Linked DNA regions of Mus musculus. The protein of the gene in region 3 interacts with the protein of the main gene of each other region in a biochemical or structural test. Links are inferred from orthologs where the notes say so. Each region holds a gene or a part of one and is shown on either strand. Other genes may lie near its edges.

What was found.
Region 1: the proteins of Casp8 (region 3) and Dedd form a complex in vitro, tested with the Homo sapiens proteins (2 studies listed by BioGRID). The link is inferred for Mus musculus from reciprocal best matches to the Homo sapiens genes CASP8 and DEDD.
Region 2: of the proteins of Casp8 (region 3) and Bcap31, one has a biochemical effect on the other in vitro, tested with the Homo sapiens proteins (2 studies listed by BioGRID, with this or other methods). The link is inferred for Mus musculus from reciprocal best matches to the Homo sapiens genes CASP8 and BCAP31.

The regions. Positions count from the first base shown.
Region 1 is NC_000067.6:171,337,086-171,345,075, reverse strand, and holds the end of Dedd (death effector domain-containing protein), read right to left. Parts: intron 6,825-7,990; 5' UTR 6,761-6,824; coding exon 6,436-6,760; intron 6,254-6,435; coding exon 6,146-6,253; intron 4,884-6,145; coding exon 4,737-4,883; intron 4,506-4,736; exon of another isoform or gene 4,249-4,505; coding exon 3,872-4,248; 3' UTR 2,575-3,871; downstream 1-2,574. Other genes in the region: Nit1 (deaminated glutathione amidase), read left to right, coding at 76-162, 537-788, 909-1,012, 1,249-1,382, 1,513-1,638, 2,279-2,545. UniProt on the Homo sapiens protein: A scaffold protein that directs CASP3 to certain substrates and facilitates their ordered degradation during apoptosis. May also play a role in mediating CASP3 cleavage of KRT18. Regulates degradation of intermediate filaments during apoptosis.
Region 2 is NC_000086.7:73,713,405-73,717,399, forward strand, and holds the start of Bcap31 (B-cell receptor-associated protein 31), read right to left. Parts: upstream 2,801-3,995; 5' UTR 2,714-2,800; intron 1,525-2,713; 5' UTR 1,481-1,524; coding exon 1,389-1,480; intron 1-1,388. Other genes in the region: Abcd1 (ATP-binding cassette sub-family D member 1), read left to right, coding at 3,627-3,995. UniProt on the Homo sapiens protein: Functions as a chaperone protein. Is one of the most abundant endoplasmic reticulum (ER) proteins.
Region 3 is NC_000067.6:58,820,662-58,828,294, reverse strand, and holds part of Casp8 (caspase-8), read right to left. Parts: intron 4,381-7,633; coding exon of another isoform or gene 4,353-4,380; coding exon 4,048-4,352; intron 1,089-4,047; coding exon 983-1,088; intron 1-982. UniProt on the Homo sapiens protein: Thiol protease that plays a key role in programmed cell death by acting as a molecular switch for apoptosis, necroptosis and pyroptosis, and is required to prevent tissue damage during embryonic development and adulthood.

The DNA.
Region 1 (7,990 bases), about 110 Mb from region 3:
CTGGAAATGGCAGAGAATTCTAGAAACTTACGGCTTGAAAGAGGGTTAGGTGTCCTGATTTCTCACCTTCTTCAGGCTGGGCTTCATCACCAGGCCTCCTCACCAACTCCTGTGTACCGGATACCGATTACTTCGAACCCCAGTACTTTGTACTCAGCCCAGGTAACATATTTCGTAATGTTCTCTCTCTGGCGCATAGCTGCTTAGTTCGTGTTTATTAACTTCATAGTGGGAGACAAAGATATCTCCAAACATGTAATGAGTGAACTCCAGTAGCTCTAGGGTTATTATGCTCTGTAAGAATGAAAACAAGTTGCTGGGGTCACCTGTAATGCCAGCACTCGAAAAAAAGGAGGATCAACCAGGAGTTTAAGGTCATCCCCAGTTACATAGAAAGGCCTGTCTGGGCTACAAAAGACCGTGTCTCAAAAAAGAAAAAAGTCAAAAGAAAATAAAGTTTCTGGCTCCACCCCCACTTGAGCCTCTGAGTTTCTCCTAGATAGAAAATCTGAGGATACTGCCTGTGTCATTCACAGGCCCAGAACCATGTCCTCATCAACTTCCTGGGAGCTGCCCCTGGTGGCTGTGTGCCAGGTAACATCAACACCAAACAAGCAAGAGAACTTTAAAACATGTGCTGAGTTGGTTCAAGAGGCTGCCAGACTGGGTGCTTGCCTGGCCTTTCTGCCTGAGGCATTTGACTTTATTGCACGAAACCCTGCCGAGACATTACTCCTGTCCGAACCACTGAATGGGGATCTTTTGGGCCAATATAGCCAGCTTGCCAGGTACAAGGGTAGGGTTTGGGGGGGGGGGGGTTGTGTGTGTAGAACTCCCTGTTGAGCAGTGTTCCTGGATTGCCACAGAGGGGGTAGAGTTGTGTGTGTCGTGTCCCCCCCCCCCCCCAGGGAATGTGGAATCTGGCTGTCCTTGGGCGGTTTCCACGAGCGTGGCCAAGACTGGGAGCAGAATCAGAAAATCTACAATTGTCATGTGCTTTTGAACAGCAAGGGTGAGACGTCATAGCCCTTAGTTTGCCTCTTCCCAGGCTTCTCTACCTTTCCTCAACTCAGATCTTCAGCATTTCTTTCTCAACTGCTTGGCCTTGGGGTTTTATGCTTCTGTTCTCAGCCTACAAGTTACTCTTTGGGAGAAGAGCTAAGCTGGACTTGTAGAGTGTCTGTACTGAGTATTTTCTCTCTCTCTCTCTCTCTCTCTCTCTCTCTCTCTCTCTCTCTCTCTCTCTAGGATCAGTAGTGGCCAGTTACAGGAAGACACATCTGTGCGATGTAGAGATCCCAGGTCAGGGGCCGATGAGAGAAAGCAACTATACCAAGCCTGGAGGCACTCTTGAGCCACCTGTCAAGACACCGGCTGGCAAGGTGGGAGTTTGGAAAGGAAATGGGACTATGTTGAAAAGTGGTAACACCCCCCATTGGTGCAGGCTAATGAAGGCACTCAGTGTTCTGTTGAATGGGACAGGGAAGATGAGTGGGTTGTTTCTCATTTCAGGTTGGTCTAGCAATCTGTTATGACATGCGGTTCCCTGAACTTTCTTTGAAATTGGCTCAAGCTGGGGCAGAAATACTTACTTATCCTTCAGCCTTTGGATCTGTTACAGGTCCAGCCCACTGGGAGGTAAGAGAATGCCTCTTCATAACATATAGGCCTCCTTTAACCTTACTTTTAGTAGTGGGAGCAGAGTGGTACAAACCTAAATCCAAGCACTTCAGTGGATAGCCACAGGTTCAAAGCCAGCATGCCTTGACTAAAAAAGAAAACAAAATAGAAGCTGGGCAGTGGGGGTGCACACCTTTAATCCCAGCACTCAGGAGGCAGAAGCAGGTGGATCTCTGAGTTTGAGGCCAGCCTGGTCTACAGAGTGGGTTCCAGGACAGCCAGGGCTACACAGAGAAACCCTGTCTCAAAAACAAAAAAGCAACCCACACCTTCAAAGAGTGGGGCATGGTGGTGCATGCTCTTCATCTCAGCACTGTGAGGCAAAGGCAGGCAGATCTCTGTGGGTCTAAGCCAGCCAGGGTTACACAGGGAGACCTTATCTCAAAAGTACAAAACACAAACACTCCTCCTTTCTACTTGATTTTCTTCCTTTTCATCTGGTGAGGAAATTCATTTCTTAGCTAGGTGTGAGTCATGTTAAAGAGTTAGTTATTAACTCTAGTTGGTTAGTGAGAAGATTGGGCCCACAGTGCCCGCTTCTTGTCACTTGCCTATTAAACGCTGTATGTTCTGGAGTCAACGCACGTCTCATCCTCAGGTGCTGCTGCGGGCCCGCGCCATTGAATCTCAGTGCTATGTAATAGCAGCAGCGCAGTGTGGACGCCACCATGAAACAAGAGCAAGTTATGGCCATAGCATGGTGGTTGACCCGTGGGGCACAGTGGTGGCCCGCTGCTCCGAGGGACCAGGCCTCTGCCTTGCTCGAATTGATCTCCACTTTCTACAACAGATGCGCCAACACCTGCCTGTGTTCCAGCACCGCAGACCTGACCTCTATGGCAGTCTGGGTCATCCACTCTCTTAATGCTTTTAACTTCTGTTGGTTAAGACACAGACACAGCCAACTGGGAGGTGATGCTACTGTGACTTGTAGGCAGGACACAAGCACGGTTCCCTTCACTTGCAGAACTTTAACCTCTCTTAATGGAACACAGGCTTAATCAAGTCCATGGGAAAGAAGAGACTTTGACCTGACCTCAGATTTCAGTTTCAGAAAAGTGGGATTTTATATAGTCACTGTTTATTTCATGAAAACTGAAGTTATGCTGAGGGCTGAGCAGCACTGGCATTGAAAAAAAAATATAATAATCATAATGTCTGGACATGTCTTTTGGGGGCTAGAAGGGGAGGTGGAATTGTACCTGCTTGACTGGACTTCACTCCTCAGCCTCCTGCCTCAAACATGCCTCCTTACCTAAGAAAGTGCGGTGCTCAGTGCATGTACTAGTCCTGCTCTCCAAAGGATGGGAGAAGGGAGGGCAGAGGAACAGGAGGAGCTGATACTAAATACCCCACTTTCTCTCAAGCAAGAAGGAAGCAAAGGGAAAGGGCCTTGGGGTGGGGTAAGAGTTATTTTCACTGGAAAAGGGAAGGAAAATGTCATACCCCCCACCCCCTCCTCCTCTTCAGAGAAAGTGTGCTCCAACTAGCAGCCTCTACTCCACTGTCCTGTGTACTGGTGTTCACATACACATCGCAGTTGGGAGGGTGATCGATCAGGCTGGCCCAGTCCTCTGTAAGTTTGCTGAACATTTGACAGGGACAAGGAGGGATCCATACGACAGCAGTTCCCGCTGTGGAATGAAGGAAAGGCAGAGAGGAGCAGCACCAAGGCCAGGAGAGACTGCAAAGGGCCACAGCTTCTCTGTTTTTAAAAAATTCTATAATTTGGAAGAAGGTGGTAATTAATTTCCAAAATACACTTCAGAGTCCCACCTTCCACATAGCTCCTTTACTCACAGCCCTTTGGTTTTTCAGACAAAATTTAAGAGCCCTCATAAAGCCATAAGTATTGATTACCCCTCAATGCACCTGAAAGCAGTGTTCAATCCCTTACAAAGGCTGTGTTCCAGAGACCCTGTCCCTATACACTTGTCTTACGGCTCAGTGGTAAGGTGGCTGTAGACACACAATAGGGTAAGTGGCAACAGGAAACGGGGAAGCCCAGGCACATGGGTGCAGGGAGGGCAGGGACACCACTTCCACCTTCCTTTGTCTTTTCCTTTTAAAAAAAAAAAAAAAAAAAGGCGGTGTGATTGGTTGGAAAGGGTAGAGAACAAACCCCAGAACAGTATGTCAGCTCCAGAGGTGACGGAGCGAACAGTCCCCAGAAAGGTGAGAAGGGGAAAGGTCAGGGTAATGCCTGCAGCATCAAGTTCCTCAGGAGTTTCTGTCGGCCCAGCTCATAGTCCTCCTCATCCACGTTCACCAGCAGCTTGATGGCTTCATGGCCCACAGCTTGCTTGAGAGAGTCTGTGATGAAGACACCTTTCAGTGCCTCTAATAATGAGCCATTAATGTAGTCTCGCCAGAATGCGTCGAGGTAGGTGAGCTCAGAGAACTTGATGTCACAGATGATGGAGCCCAGGTCCCGGGACTTGAGGATAGTGTTGGCCTGGTTAAAGCGCTCAAACTGGCGCTCAAGTGGGTCCTGCTTATTGGAGAAGACATTGCCTTGCAGAGCCGTCTCATGCTGGCAGTATTCCGCCCGAACTCGGAGCCTGATATCTGGGAGAATTTTAAGGAGCATGGTTTATAATGGATTGTGTTTACAACCAAAGCTAGAAAAGCAAGCAAGCAAGGCTGAGACCCTCCCTCTTCTCACAGCTTCTTTACCTCTCCCCAGAACTAGTTCTTCACTGTGTCACTGGTTTCAATTCTGGAGCTGCCCTACAATGCCCTACAATGACTCTGCTCAGGCCACTCACAAACAGCACCTTGTTAGAAGACCTGTCTTATTAAAAAGTTGCACAAATTTACTTTAATTCTGTCTTGACTTGGTTCATCCTATATAAGAATGACGTTGGCATTTCTTTAATAGTAACTAAAAAGATTTGTAATATACCATTGCTGAAAAGAACAGTTCTCATGAAAACTAAACCTGACCTGAAAACAGCAAAGATTGCCTTGCACTGAACTACAGACTGCCCATCATCCCAGGAGTTCTTTATATTTTCCCTCAAGTCTACAACGTTAAAGTCCCTGAATTTCCTTACCACATGTCTGCTTTTCCTTCGGGTCTGGTGTCACCGACTTCCGGCGTTTTCGCTGGCTCCCAAGTGTGGTTCTCCCTCGGGCTGGCCGCTTACTACACATTTGAGAACCCGAAGTGGGGCAGCACACCACAGGATAGTGGGGAGGCACTGAGCAGAAAGTAGGTGGGAAAACACGGTTTGACAAGTAGAACTTCAAATCTTTCATTTGGAATAGACAAAGGAACCATCTAGACTTGAGAATAAAAGTATTGGTGATATAACCTGAAGGCTGAGGGGTATAGCCCAATAATCAATGTCTGTCAAACATTCATGAATATCTGGACTCAGCCCTAGCAATGGGGTGGCAGGTGGCATGCACTAAGTATGGTGGAAGAAATCTATCATCTGAGCACTTAAGGGTGAAGAAAGGAAGCCAGGTGGTGGTGCACACCTTTAATTCCAACACTTGGGAGGCAGAGGCAGAGGTAATGGAATCTCTTGAGTTCAAGGCCAGTATGATCTACAGAGTAAGTTCTAGGACAGCCAAGGCTTCACAAAGAAACCCTGTCTCAAAAAACAAGACAAAAACAAAAACAGAGAAACAAAAAAGGCTAAGGAAGGAAGGCCATCTTGGCCTACACAGGGTTCTGCATTTACCCAAGCTAAATAGGAAGTCCCAAAAATAAAAGTTGGGGCTGCAGAGATGGCTCAGTGGTTAGGAGGACGTGTAGTTCTTGCAGAGGACCCAGATTCACCTCCACAGGCACCAGGTACACACAAGGCACACAAGCAAATATGCAGGCAAACATTCATACAGAAAAAATTTTTTAAAAACTGACCTAAGGTCTGGAGTGATGGCTTAACCTACATGCAGACAGTATACTTTTACACATAAATTGATTTTTAAAAAGTAACCTAAAAGGAGAATAAACACTAGACCTAGACAAAGTATACTTCACCTGCTTTATGTGTGTACATGTTCACATAGATGTGTTCCTATGTGAGTGTGCCTCATGTAAAGGTCAGAGGTCAGCATTAGGTGTCTTCCTCAATCCTCTCACCATCTTTCTTTAGACCAGGGCTTTCATTGAGCCTTGAGTTCAGCAGTGTGCCAAGGCTGGCTGCCTCTATGAGCCCCAGGGATCCACCTGTCTCTGCCTCCAACCCTGAGATTGCAGACACTTTATTACCCAGCTTTTTCTGTGTGGGTGCTGGGAACCTGAACACAGGTCTTCATGAGTATGCAGCTGGCACTTGACCGAGTGAGCCATTTCCCCAGCTCCTGATTGTCTTTAATGGACAGGGACTTTAATGTCTTTAATGGGGTGGATGGAGAGGGACTGTATCCCGTCACTGATGTTGGCGCAGCCACACATGTGATGGGAACAATGTTCTCCTGCTTATGAAAATTACAAGTAGTATCCTCTCACCTGTTTTAGAGGGCTGGGGAGGCCTCGGTTCTGGGTCACTGAGGGCTCTGGGGGTCACATAGCGAATTGATGTTTCCTCCAGATACTTGTCTACAAGATCAGGGCACACTGCAGGAGGAGAAGGAGTCACTCAAGAAAAAGTACATATCTTTCTTCTCCCAAAGGATCTCTGTTCTCCTAGGTATTCCCCAGGTCAAGACCGCCCCGCCCTGTAGACTCTGCACTACTCACTCCTGGCCTCCCACAGAGCTTCTCTTAGTCGTGTGTCCCCAGACCCCATAAGGCCTCACCAGCTCGTCTCTTCTTGAGAGTAACGTAGGGCAGCAAGTCATGGCGAGTGATGATGCGCAGCAGCTGCAGCACCTGGCGAAAGTTACTCTCGTCACAGCGGCCCTGGCGCTCCAGTGCCAATAAGAAGTCACGTCCATTTCGGATGAGTCCACGTTCATGGTCATCAATAACATCAACAAAAAGGAAGGAAAGCACTCGGACATCTCTGTGTGTTAGGTGGGTGCCCACGATGTCGAACATGCGGTGGAGGCTGTAGAGCCCATGTTCTTGCTCCCCACGCTCTTCGGGCCACACCTGGCTTGCCCGCCTCTTTAGGCCCGCCATGCTAGAGGCTCAGAAATAGAGTGCTTTCCAGAATCTCTGCTCAGCAGCTGCAATCTCCAGTGATCTGTAAGATAAGACAAGACCCCATGAGCCATGGGGCCACTGGTAGCCACCAATTTTATTTATCTTTATTATCTTAACGTGCTACTAATGAAGCTCAGCTTAATATGTTTATTAAATATCATAAAGTGTTTATGCTAGGTGTGGTGGCATACGCCTTTCATCTCAGCACTCAGGAGGCAGGGGCAAGTAGATCAGAGTGGCAGAACACTCAGGGCTACAGAGACCCTGTCTCAAAAAAGCAAAAACCAACAACAACAAAAAAGCAAAACAAAACAATGCTAAATGCTTTTCATACTCAACAGACGATGCCCTGAGTCAAGATCCTACAAGGGATACAGTCAGATCCTGGAGTGAGAATGCTTTGTGATTTTAGTACTGCATAGGTCAGACGTTTCTGTTGCAGCTAGGTATGAGAGTATACACCTATAATTACAGCACTCAGGAGCCAGAGGCAGGAGAATTACCCTTAAGTTTGAAGCCATTCTGATCTGCACAGCAAGTTTCGTCCTGTCAGAGATATAAGGTAGACCCTATCTCAAAAGCAAAATAAGCTAGTCTGGTAAAGCTGCCTAAAGCCCCAGCACTTGAGAGGTAAACACAAGGAGGCTCACGAGTTTAAGGCTATCCTCAGCTACAGGGCAAGATCAAAGCCAGCCTGGGCTATATGAAACTGTCTCAAAGTTAGTTGGTTGGTTGGCTGGTTTTTAAATGTTATCCAAATGTTCCTCTTGTCTCCAAAACACTGCTTTTAGTCCCCTGAAACACCGATTTGCTGGGCATGGAGGTACATGCCTGTAGCTAGCATTCAGGAGATTAAGGTTAGGAGGATCGGATTCCAGGAAAACCTGGTCTGTATTCTCAAGTCTTACAGAAACAACAACAAAATATACATAGTAACAGAACAATATCTAAGTGTAGCAGTGTACCCCTTTGAACCTAGAATTCAGGAGGATCTCTGTGAATGGGAAACCAATCTAGTGTTCCACAGAGTTTTAGGCCAGCCAGGGTTAAATAACATAACCCTGTCTCAAAGGGGTTAGAGGTGTTAATGGTTAAGAGCACCAGCCGTTCCTCCAGAAGACCTAAGTTCAATTCCCAGCACCCACAGGGATAGGCTCCATCCACCTGTAACTCCAGCTCTGGCCTGAGACCTCAAGAGGCACCTTC
Region 2 (3,995 bases), on a different chromosome or scaffold from region 3:
ACCAGGCTGGCCTCGAACTCAGAAATCCGCCTGCCTCTGCCTCCCGAGTGCTGGGATTAAAGGCGTGCGCCACCACGCCCGGCTTTTAAGTTGGTCTTAATCAGTCTCTCCTTCCTGCTTTTTTTTCCTTTCAATTTTTCTGTGTGTTTGTACCTGTGCATATGCATGAGTGTGTGGGCTTGAAGTGGTTATCTTCTCTAATCATTCTCTACTTTCTTTTTTTCCCAGTGGTCTCACTGAACCTAGAACTTACTGATTCAGCTAGACTGGCTAGGATCCTCCTTATCTTTGCCTCTACCACACTCTATTACAGAAGTGTGTTCCTATGTCCAGATTTTACATCAATGATAGAGATCAAACTCAGATTTTGAATTTATACTTGTTCAAGCAACCATTTTACTTACAGAGCCATTTCCGTAATCCTTTTCCTTTTCATACCAGGTCTCATTTAGCTCAAGCTAACCTCAAATTTGCTATGTAGCCAAGATAGGTCTTGAACTCCTAACCCTGCCTTCACCTCCTAAGTGGTGGAACAAAGTTAGTTGTCCTAGAGAGTATCCAAGACTCCAGTTCCACCAGCGTTTTGGTCACTGTATTTCCTGTGAACTAAATGTCAATGTGGGTTTTAGCAAGAATATTCCTTAGGTATTATTAACTATGGCAATTTTATAAATCCTAATTTAAATACGAATAGTGTTGATATACTACAAATGATTGAAACAATATCTAAATAACGTTTAGCAAATCCTGGTTTTTTGGGTTGTTTTTTGTTTTTCGAGACAGGGTTTCTCTGTGTAGCTCTGGCTGTCCTGGAACTCACTCTGTAGACCAGGCTGGCCTCAAACTCAGAAATCCACTACCTCTGCGTCCCAAGTGCTGGGACTAAAGGCGTACGCCACCACGCCCAGCCTGTTTTTTATTAAAAGGGACTATAGCTTCCATCCTTCATAGGCTGAGTAATGCTCATGAGCCTACTAAGCAATGCCAGTAGGAGTTAGCTAGGAGGTCAAAAGTCAGCAAATCGGCAACAATGTAAGCCAATGGTGCAAGTATTCAAGTTTCCACACAATTATCCCCTACAGCCCTGAGGCCCAAGGGTTGGCAAGAGAATATTACTCAAAAAAGTTGAAGTCAAATCTTCTTTTGCAAAAACCAGAAGACAGTGTGCACAGGAAAGCAAATGACGAGGTGACAAAGCCAGACAATGTTCAAGATTGGTGATAAGAAAAAAAAAATCATACTCCTGACACCCTTACTCAAGACAGGTTTTACTTGTTTCCATATAGCCTCAATTTCAGGGTCCACCAATTTTGCACACAGAAACTACAAGGTTCAGGGTTTGATAGCACCCTCATCATATGCTTGCTTTGTTGTTCCACTAGCCATACCTTTTTGGAGAAATGAAGGGAATGCAGAGAAGCAACACAGCAAAGACCTCTGCGTAGAGGAAGGTGGCAACTGTAGTCCACTGCAAACTCATCCTGTGACTTAAAGGGTTCCAACAGAGGGATGGGAGCTTGTTTCCTGGCAGGATACAGAAGAAACAGGAGGAACCATGAGAGCTGGAAAGTCACTGACAGGGACTGCTCAGGGACCCTGGAGAGGCTGGGGCTGCTATTCTTCACAACAGACCACAGGATTCTGCTTCAGAGCTTTTGAAACCCTGGTTGAAACAGGGTTTAACCCAACAGCAGACACTTGACCAATGATTCTAGCCAGCCAACAAACTTCCCTTGCCTGGGACAGTTACTTGTGCCCCTCCAGCAAGTATGTTACTATGACTAGGTACTTTTGTTCATGATTCCTTTCCCCGGGGCCGTCCAAGAGACTCTTAAGCCTGTTTAACTAAGAAAATGTTTCTCATAAGAATAGGAGAACCTTCTCAGCACCCATCAGGCTCCCTTGTAAGGCTAGACCTGTTTAAGAAAATGTTTCTCAAAAGAACAGTACGTAAACAGAAGGACCTCAGCACCCATTAGGCTTCCTTCCAAGAGTAGAAGCCTCTGCTGCCAGGAGCTATACATGTCTTCCAGTCGCTTCTACAGTGGGACTGGGACTGCAGTGTTCATACATGTATTTTCTGCAAACGCCACCACCTAAGCCTCTGCACAAGAAAGCAGGCCCATTTCCTCCAGAGCTTATGAGGGGCTGATAACCCTAGTAGCCTCCAGCCTCCTTCTAAAGCTGCTTTTGAAAACTAGATAGGCCTTCCGAATGCTCGCACGAATGCACAGGGTGTAGGCCTCCATTTACTCTCAAAAGGCCCACAAGAGCGACTCCTAGAGGGCGGGAATCCAGGCCAAAAGCAAATACAGGTCTCCACAGAGCACGTCCAGGCCTTACCCAGAGAAAGTTCCAGAACCAGAAAGTCTCTCCCGAAGCCAAAAAAGGGACCTCCCTGCATCCCTAGCAAGCCACAACGCCCAAGTCCACAGCGCCAGGTGGCTTTCGAGGAGCTGGGCCTACCTGGGCAGCTCTTCTGGGGGGGGGTGGGGAGGACTGGCCCCTGTCCTCGCGTCCCCTAGAGTCCCGCTCCACCTACCTCCACAACATCCCTATGCCTGATCCTGCCCTAAACTCCGAAGTCGGCCCGGATCCCTACACTTCCCAGAACCCACAGTATTTCTGGGATGCTCGCCTTCCTCCCTCATGAAGGGACTGGGGGGGAACCTCGTTGGTCCGAAAGTCAGCCATGCATGCGGACCCAGCTTACCGAGCTTCAGCCTACTCGCACGCCCCACCGCAACTACCAAACTCTCACCAATGCTCAGGCCCGCCCCCTAGCCCGCGGGCGGAAACCGGAAACGCGCGTCAGGCCCCGCCTACAAGTCCTCTAGAGGCCCCTAACGGCTCCGCCCATTGTCGTTTCCCGCCCCGCCCTTAGGCGCGGCCTGTTGCCAAGGTCTAGAAAGGAAGTAGAGGCTGACGGTTGAAGGCCCCCTGCCGCGCCTCTGACACTTCGGACACGCAGGGGTGGAGCTTGGAGGCGCCTTGGCGGGAGGGCTGGGGCCGCTTCTGTAGTGTACGCGGACTTGCTTCGTTTCTGTTGTCGGAGAGGGGGAGGGGTCCAACGGTAGGGCGAGAACGGGGTGGGGCACCCCTAACTCGGACTCCGCCTCTTGCCTCAACTCCGCCTCCTCTTCCCCATCACCACCCCTGGGGAGGGGTAGGTGGGTGGGGATTCTGGGCCTTGGCGTAGACGCTGTCGTTACTGCCGGGCTGCTCAGCGGACAAACACGCCTGGTGCCCCGGGGAGGGGCGTCACGGGGGGTGGGGGGGGAGGAGCAGTAAGAGGAGGGAGGTGGAAGGAAAGACACAGCCTCTCTCCTTAAGACCTCTCGAGGCTCTGACCTCAGGGGCTAAGGGGACAGTCTGTAGAGGGAAGCCAGTTCCTCCACCCGGGCTGCCTGAAGAGGCCACGACCCTGGAGGATTCTAACCCAACCGATCCAGGGGCCCCAGCACCACCGCGAGGGCCTAAAGCAACAGTCTCAGGGATCACTTCAAGGTTTCCAGTTGCCTAGACAACGAGCCCTGGGTCAGAGCAACAACCCTTCCAGGATCTGTCTGCAACTGTAGCCTCAGGCAGCAGTTCCAGCCCTCAGCCTGCTCACCAGTCCAGGTGACATGCCGGTGCTCTCCACTCCCCGGCCCTCACGGGTGACCACGCTGAAGCGCACAGCTGTGGTCCTGGCCCTCACAGCCTATGGAGTCCACAAAATCTACCCTCTAGTACGGCAGTGTCTGACTCCTGCCAGAGGTCCTCAGGTGCCAGCTGGGGAGCCCACTCAAGAGGCCTCTGGAGCCACCGCAACCAAGGCTGGCATGAACCGGGTATTCCTGCAGCGGCTCTTGGCGCTCCTGAGGCTGCTGTTCCCCCGAGTCTTGTGCCGGGAAACAGGGCTGCTGGCCCTGCATTCTGCTGCCCTGGTAAGCCGAACTTTCCTGTCTGTGTATGTTGCCCGCCTGGACGGCAGACTGGCCCGCTGCATTGTA
Region 3 (7,633 bases):
AGACCAACAGAGAAGCCACACAGAGGTATACCCAGGCACCTACACCACACATAAACACCCACAATATACACAACATGTAGACACAGACACATCATACAACCTACTCATAAAGACACATAATACACACCGGGATGGAGTGAGAGGGGGCGAACACGCCGTGTTTCAAGGGCAGCAGAAGTAGGGAAATGTGACCCTGGGCCACCTTTTCTCCTTGGCCCTGCTGGGTCCCATGTATTGTTGAACTGCACAACTTGCTCTCTCCGGCTTCTGGCTCGGCCCTGTGGCCGAGTAACACTTCACTGTGCAGAGGCACTAGAGCCATACCTACCTGTTCCTATCTAACTACTTTCTTCTAGTGAGAAGACAGGGGCTGCTCAGTGGACAGAGTGCTTGCTTACGGTGCAGAAAGTGCTGAGTTCCACATCCTGGAACCACATTAACAGGAGATAAAGGCAGGAAGATCAGAAGTTTAGGGTCAACTTTGGCTACAGTGATGGTTTGTACATGGTTGGCCCAGGGAGTGGCACTGTTGGGAGGTGTGGCACTGTTGGGAGGTGTGGCCTTGTTGGAGTAGGTGTGGCCTTGTAAGTGTGGGCTTTAATACCCTTGTTCTTGCTGCCTGGGAGCCAGTATTCTGCTAGCAACCTTCAGATGAAGATGTAGAACTCTCAGCTCCTCCTGTACCATATCTGCCTGAACGCTGCCACGTTCCAGCCTTGACGATAATGGACCTGAACCTGTAAGCCAGCCCTAATTAAATGCTGTCCTTATAAGAGTTGCCTTGGTCATGGTGTCTATTCACAGCAGGAAAACTCTAATGAAGACAGCTAAATAGCAAGTTTGGATTTAGCCTGGGCTATAGGATACCATGTTTCAAAACAACAACAACACCATCACAACCTTGAATACTATTTATGTTTAGCAGGGCTCTCTGGTCTCAGAAACCCCAGAGGTGACCCATCTTCAGGAGATTAGGTCTTACCAAGTCATCTTCCAGCTTACATTTGGGGATCTCATTGTTCAAAAGGAACTTAAAAGATCTCAATTCCAACTCGCTCACTTCTTCTGAGAGCTTAAAGAGCATGACCCTGTGGCAGGAAACAGAGGCACTTTAGAAACACGTTCTAGATCATTTCCCACCACTACACAGTCACAGCAGGGCTCACTCCCAGGGCTTCCTTAAAATAGTCAACTATTCCTGACTGGTGGAAGTCTATAGAGTCAGGTCCAACCAACCCACCCATGCGAAGTGCCACCACCTTTGTAACCAACTAACTTCAACTAAAAGAATCTCCCTGCTCCTATGTCGATATAAAAATCAAGATCCAGATGCGAGGATTTGGGGGAATTATATTCTCCATGGTGCACAACAGAGCTGACTCCCTTCTAAGCATTGGTCCATGTTCTCTCAGCAATTTCCTTCAGGAGGAGGCTGAATATTTGGTTCTAGAATAAAAGGGACTCTGAACACACACACACACACACACACACACCTCTTTCCACTCTTACCAACACCCAAGGCTCTCAACACAGCCAGCTGCCGTGTGCTCTCCCCACCATACATTCCCTGTGTCTCCTTGCATGCATCCACTGCCCACCTGCAATCTCATTAGTTGCCAGGGAGTCCTCGGGGCTCTGTTCTCTCACTAAATCTTCATTCACCCCCCACCCCCGCCCCTGAAAGAACTCACATATGGCAACAGCCTGTTTATAAACTGCCAAGTCCCCTAACAGCCTGGCCCATGCCTTTTTCACTTTTCATTAACCTGAGATTTGTGAGGTGTAATGTTTGAGTGCAGGGGCCCCAGACTACAAACACATCTTGTAGGCAGGACAAAATTCTGTGGGTGGGCTGGCGTCTCTATCCCTCCACTGGAAGTCCTGCCTGGTTACAGAAGGTGGCCACTTCCAGGCTGGGCAAGATGTGTTTGTTCATGGTTAGGGTCTTGCTGCTTCCCACAGTGACAACCCTTCCCACCTGCTTGTGTATGCATATGGAACCCTTCTGTGTCTTTAAATGTGAGCCACCAAGATACATGTGTGTCACCGATGTGTGAATCTGCCTTCTTATTGATCCAGGCCTGCAGTCTCGGTTTTTAAGTTCCTGAGAATTCACCCTGCAGCGTGTGTAATGCAAAGTATTTCCAGCTTATTTCAGGAGGTGAGAAAACATCCCTGAAAGTGAGCACACCTCTAGACTTCTCCATTTTCCCTCCCCTTGCCCAGTCCAGGGGCAGGCTGGGTGGTCCTTTCCCTGATAGACAGAGACTCTCTTAGAAGTCATCATTACCCACAATCCTGTCTGTTACAATTTGTTACATCAGATATTACAATTTCTACATCAGAACATGTATAAATGTGGGACTACTTACAAAGTTACTCAGGTTACGTGGGGGAAAGGGCAACAATGCCTTGTTGTTTCTCCAGAGCCCAGTCCTTCTTGGCTGGTGGAAGCAGCTACCACATAGCCTGCTGGAATCCTGGTTTGTTCTCCTTAGTGTCCCCAGACTATTTTAAACCTCTGTCATCTTAACTTTCTTTAACAAGAAAGAAGAGGAAGAGCTAAAATACTTATTTGAAACTCTGCTTGCAGACAGGAGCCTCACATGACTGTCTTCGGAGACGCTTCATCCAGCAACTGACAGATTCAGAGACCCACAGCCAAACATCAGGCAGAGCTCGGGGAGTCTTGTGGAAGAGTGGGGGATAGGATTGAAAGAGCCTGAGGGGTCAAGGGGACCACTCGAAGACCTACAGAGTCAACTAACCTGCACCCATGGGGGCTCACAGAGGCTGAACAACCAATCAAAGAGCATATGGGGCTGGACCTAGCCCCCGCCCCCCCACATATGTAGCAGATGTGCAGCTTGGTCTTCATGTGGGTTCTCCAATAACTGGAGCAGGCACAGAGGTGAGGGAGGTGTCTGCCTATGACTCTGTTGCTTGCCTTTGGATTCCTTTCCTCTACCTGGGTTGCTTTGTCTGGCCTCAGTGAGAGAGGATGCACTTAGTCTCCTGCTGTGACTTACTGTGCCAGGGCAGGTGGTGGGGTGGGGGAGGGAGAAGGGCGGTGGGAGGGCAGGACTGGGAGGAGAAAAGGGAGGGGGCTTTGATCAGGATGTAAAATAAATAAAAATAAATAAATAGTGAAACAAGCAAACAAACAAAGTTCTGATGGCTCTTCCAAGCACACAGGTCCAATTCCCAACACCTACATGGCAGCTCACAACTGTCTATAACTCCATGTCCAGGTGATTTAATGCCCTCTTCTGGCCTCTGCAGGAAGCCTACATGCAAATGCTGTACAGACACATCGGTAAACAAAATACCTATGTCGTAAAATAAAAATTAAAAAAATCTTTAAAAAAATCTCACTATCAGCATACTAGAAGGTAATGTTTCACTTTGAAAAATGAAAAATTTAAATTATACATTGTGGTGGTTTGAATGAACAGGGTCCTTCCTAGGCGTATGTATTTGAACACTTGGTCCCAGGCTGTCTGGAGAGGTTATGGAGCTTTTAGAACGCAGAGCCTTGCAGCAGGAAGCACATCATGATCACCAGGCACAGACTTTGAGGGGTTTGACCTCACCCAGCTTTCGGGTCACACTTTCTGTTTCCCGTGTGCATGGCAGATGTGAACTCTCAGCTCCCTGCCCCTGCTGCCCTGCCTGCTAGTTACCATCTTATCTCCGGCATTAGCACTCTGGAACTGTAATCCAACATAAACTCTTCTATAAATTGCTTTTGGTCGTGGTATTTTTCCACAGCAACAGCAAAGTAACTACTCCACACAGAATCATATTCCCCTACACTGGTCTCTCTCTGACTCCTGTAGCCAAATCCCTTTTCCTCCTCATAAGTCCCTTTCTGTACCATGCTGTATGAAAGATACATTATTTTATGGCTTTAGCATGTTTCTCTGAATTATGTATTTAGCCCCTACATTTAGCCCGCAGTCTCACAAGTCACTTCACACATGTCACAGGGGCATGCCCCCTTCAGCCCACACTTCCCAGTCCCCCCACCACAGCCTTTCTACCCACCTGTAGGGAGAAATCTGGGCATTGTCTGGATCCCGCAGCTCTCTCACCATCTCCTCTCGGTTGCAGTCTAGGAAGTTGACCAGCAGGTCCCACCGACTGATGTGGAAAAGCAGCTCTTTCAGGAAAGACAGATTGCCTTCCTCCAACATCCCCTTTTCCCGCAGCCTCAGAAATAGCTTCTGGGCATCCTCGATGGTCTCCTGCTTCTTGTGTGGGATGTAGTCCAAGCACAGGAACTTGAGGGCAGCCAGGTCTTCACTGCCCAGTTCTTCAGCAATAGCATAAAGACAACTCTGGAAATCCATTCTTATCAAGAGGTAGAAGAGCTGTAACCTGGGTCAACACAAGATGCTAATGATCAAGTGAGGAAGTTAAGTGTCAGCTACCAGCTTGTTTCCTGTCAAAAACTAACTGCATCTACCATATTCCAGACACTTTAGAAGGAAAAAAAATGGAGAATAATAACAGGAAACAAAACAGGAAGTTCCTGATTCTCGGAAGCTTTTGTTTAGAGAGGTGAATATACAGAAAGCCACTGGTCAGATAGTCACCTCCTAGGTGCCTTAACAGTCTTGGGAATAGGGCAAGACACCTTTGGGGAGGAGGCAAGAAAAGCGGCTCTTAAAGGAAAAGTGCATACAAAATGCGGAGACAAATTGGACAGACACCAGAGTTCAGTAGAACAACCCCAAAGAGGCTAGACTAGATTGTTGATGACTCTGCAGGAAGATAGTAAGAGTCCTGGCTGGGAACACGGGCTCCTCCTAGATTGAAACCTGGCTGTATCACTGGCCACTCTGCCTCGGGAAGCTGCTTCCTCAGAGTATTTTACATGTCTTTGTGTGTTAAATGAAGGGTAGAAGTCTACCTTTCTCCTGAAGCTGTGAATCTGGGGTAACATCAAGTAACATTCAGCTACTAACAAACAAAGCCACACCAACTTCCAAGAAAGAGAAACCCCTGGTCATGGAGCTTGTCTCAGTTTGTTGCTATTGTTATGGTAAAAACATCATGACCAAAAGCAACCTGGAGAAGAAAAAGTTCATTTACTGTTATAGCTTTAGAGTCCATCACCCACGGGAAGTCAGGGCAGGAACCTGGAGACAGAAACGGATGCAGAGAATGGAGGAGCAATGCTTACTGCCTTGTTCCTCGTAACTCGCTCCACCTGCCTTCCTGTGGCACCCAAGACCATCAGTGGCACTGCCCACAGTGAGCAGGGCCTTCCACATCAATCGTGACCAAGAAAATACACCACAGACCTGCCTACTAGAGGCTTCGAAATTGCATAAAAATCACCATGTTAACAACAAAGGTTTAAAGAAAGAATTCTCTATCACTTGACAACAAGCCAAAGAAATTGTGAGGCAATGTCCTACTTGCTCATTACATAACCAAACTCCATTAACCTCCAGGAAGTACCCTAAAGGTACCCAAAGAAATGAAATTTGACAAATGGATGTGTTCCATTTTATAGAGTTTGGTAAACTAAGATATGTGCATCATACAATAGACACATATTCAGGATTTCAATGGACAACTGCTTTAGCTTCAGAAAAGGCAGATTCTGTAATTACACATTTGTTAGACGTTGTGGCCATGATGGGAATACTCATACAAATTAAAACAGAAAATGGTCCGACATATGTGTCTAATAAGATGAAAAAAGTTTTTAACATATTATTATATAAAACATGTTTCAAGCGTATCACATAATCCTACAGGACAAGCAATTGTGGAAAGATCTAATTGTACTCTAAAAGAGATGCTTATCAGACAAAAGGGGGTAACAAAGACTCTCAGAAATAGATTTCATAGTGTTTTATTAACCTTAAATTTTTAAAATGGTAATGAACAAAAAAATATAGCTGCTGAAAGACATTGGATTGTGGGGAAAACCCGCTGAGCTAGACCAGCCTGTTTACTTTAAAGATCTTCTAACTCTGGGGGAGAGGTTTTGCCTATATTTCCACAGGAAAAGAAAAGCTATGAGTTCCTTCCAAGTTGATAAAAATCAGACATGACAAGGGGAGAACCCCCTAAAGACCTTGGCTACAGACAAAAGGAGATTGACAAGATCAACAAGATAAGTGATGTATATGTGGTGATGTATATATGACTCTGTACACAGAGACAGCTCTGGGACCTGCTGAGATATAACTGTCTATATACAGCCAATAACACTTGTTGAGCACAAAATTTTCATAACTTTTTATTAGCTACCATCCTTTAAGATGGCAGGAATAGCTATTTATATTGTATTTTGATTATGTGATCAAACTAACCTCTGAAGAAAGGCAGTTGTCTTTCTTTATTGATCTTCCTTAATTAATCTGTGCACCCTGCACGTTCCACATGAATGTCTTTACAGAGCCCACGAGTTGCTTGTAAGGTTTGTATACTGAAGAATGAAAGAGGAGAGAGACAACCCTGACAAGATTCACACTCGGGGACGCTGAGATTCCAGGTCCTTCCATTCCAGCTCCTTGCTTGATTCTACCTCAACTACATCGGAGCTGTTTCCTCTAAAGACTTGCTTCCAGGACAGTTTCAGAACAGCTAATTCACTCATCTAGCCTTTCAGACTATTACAGTCAGGACTTCAGCTAAGCCATAAACTTTCTCAGCACATAGAGACCGAAAGGCAAATGATGCCAGCTAGTCTGCCTTTGACAAGACCAATTTTCCTATTCCCCTTTGGGCCCCCAGAAGGGAATTCCTCACCCCAATTTAGCTAGAAGCAAACAAAAGAAGATTGTTGTCCCAGTCCCTTAGGTTGGAGTGGATAGTTCTGGCTATTTTATAAGTTATAGATATATTGTCATCTTAGTGGATAACTTACAAGTGTGACTTTGGACAGGGAGGAAACTAGAGAGCCTAGACTCAGGGATTTCTACCTTTCGTTTCCTCTTCTCTATCCTTCCTTCTTAGGTAAAGAGAGGAAGATGGAAAGGGAAGGGGAAATATAGTCAAATGGACAGATAGAGATAGGATATTAAATTTACACTTAAACAAAGCATCAAATCACCATAATCTTACATTGGTAGAAACCTTTATATCTGATACAAAATTGAAGTTTTAATTCTTACATTGTTACACTATTTATATATATTGATACAGGTTTAAGGTTTTCATTGGTATAAATCTTTGTATATTAGTACAAAATTTAAAATTAATATTGTTACTCTTAGATAGGCATTATGCCTATGTAACTCATTTAAGAATACAAGGCTTAGATCCAGTCCTTTTAATAGCTGCTGTTACAAACTGTTTAGGATGATTAAGTGATGCAAGTCAGATACTGAAATTCATGGCTTTATTAGATTCTAATTTAGTTAATTACAAGTGTTTTCAAGATTATTTTAATAGTAAATAGCTAAGAGTAATGGATGTTTGACAATTCTGTTATGGTATATGTTTAGATAGTCTTCAAAAGCATCAGAGATTCACAGAATATGGCATTTAATATTATTTCATCATCAAAGATCATATGACTATGAGACAGATGTGTTCATGACAGTATCACATTCCACTTCAAGGAGGCTATTGAGCATCATTACCTCCAGGGGGAGTTGCTTTGATCGTG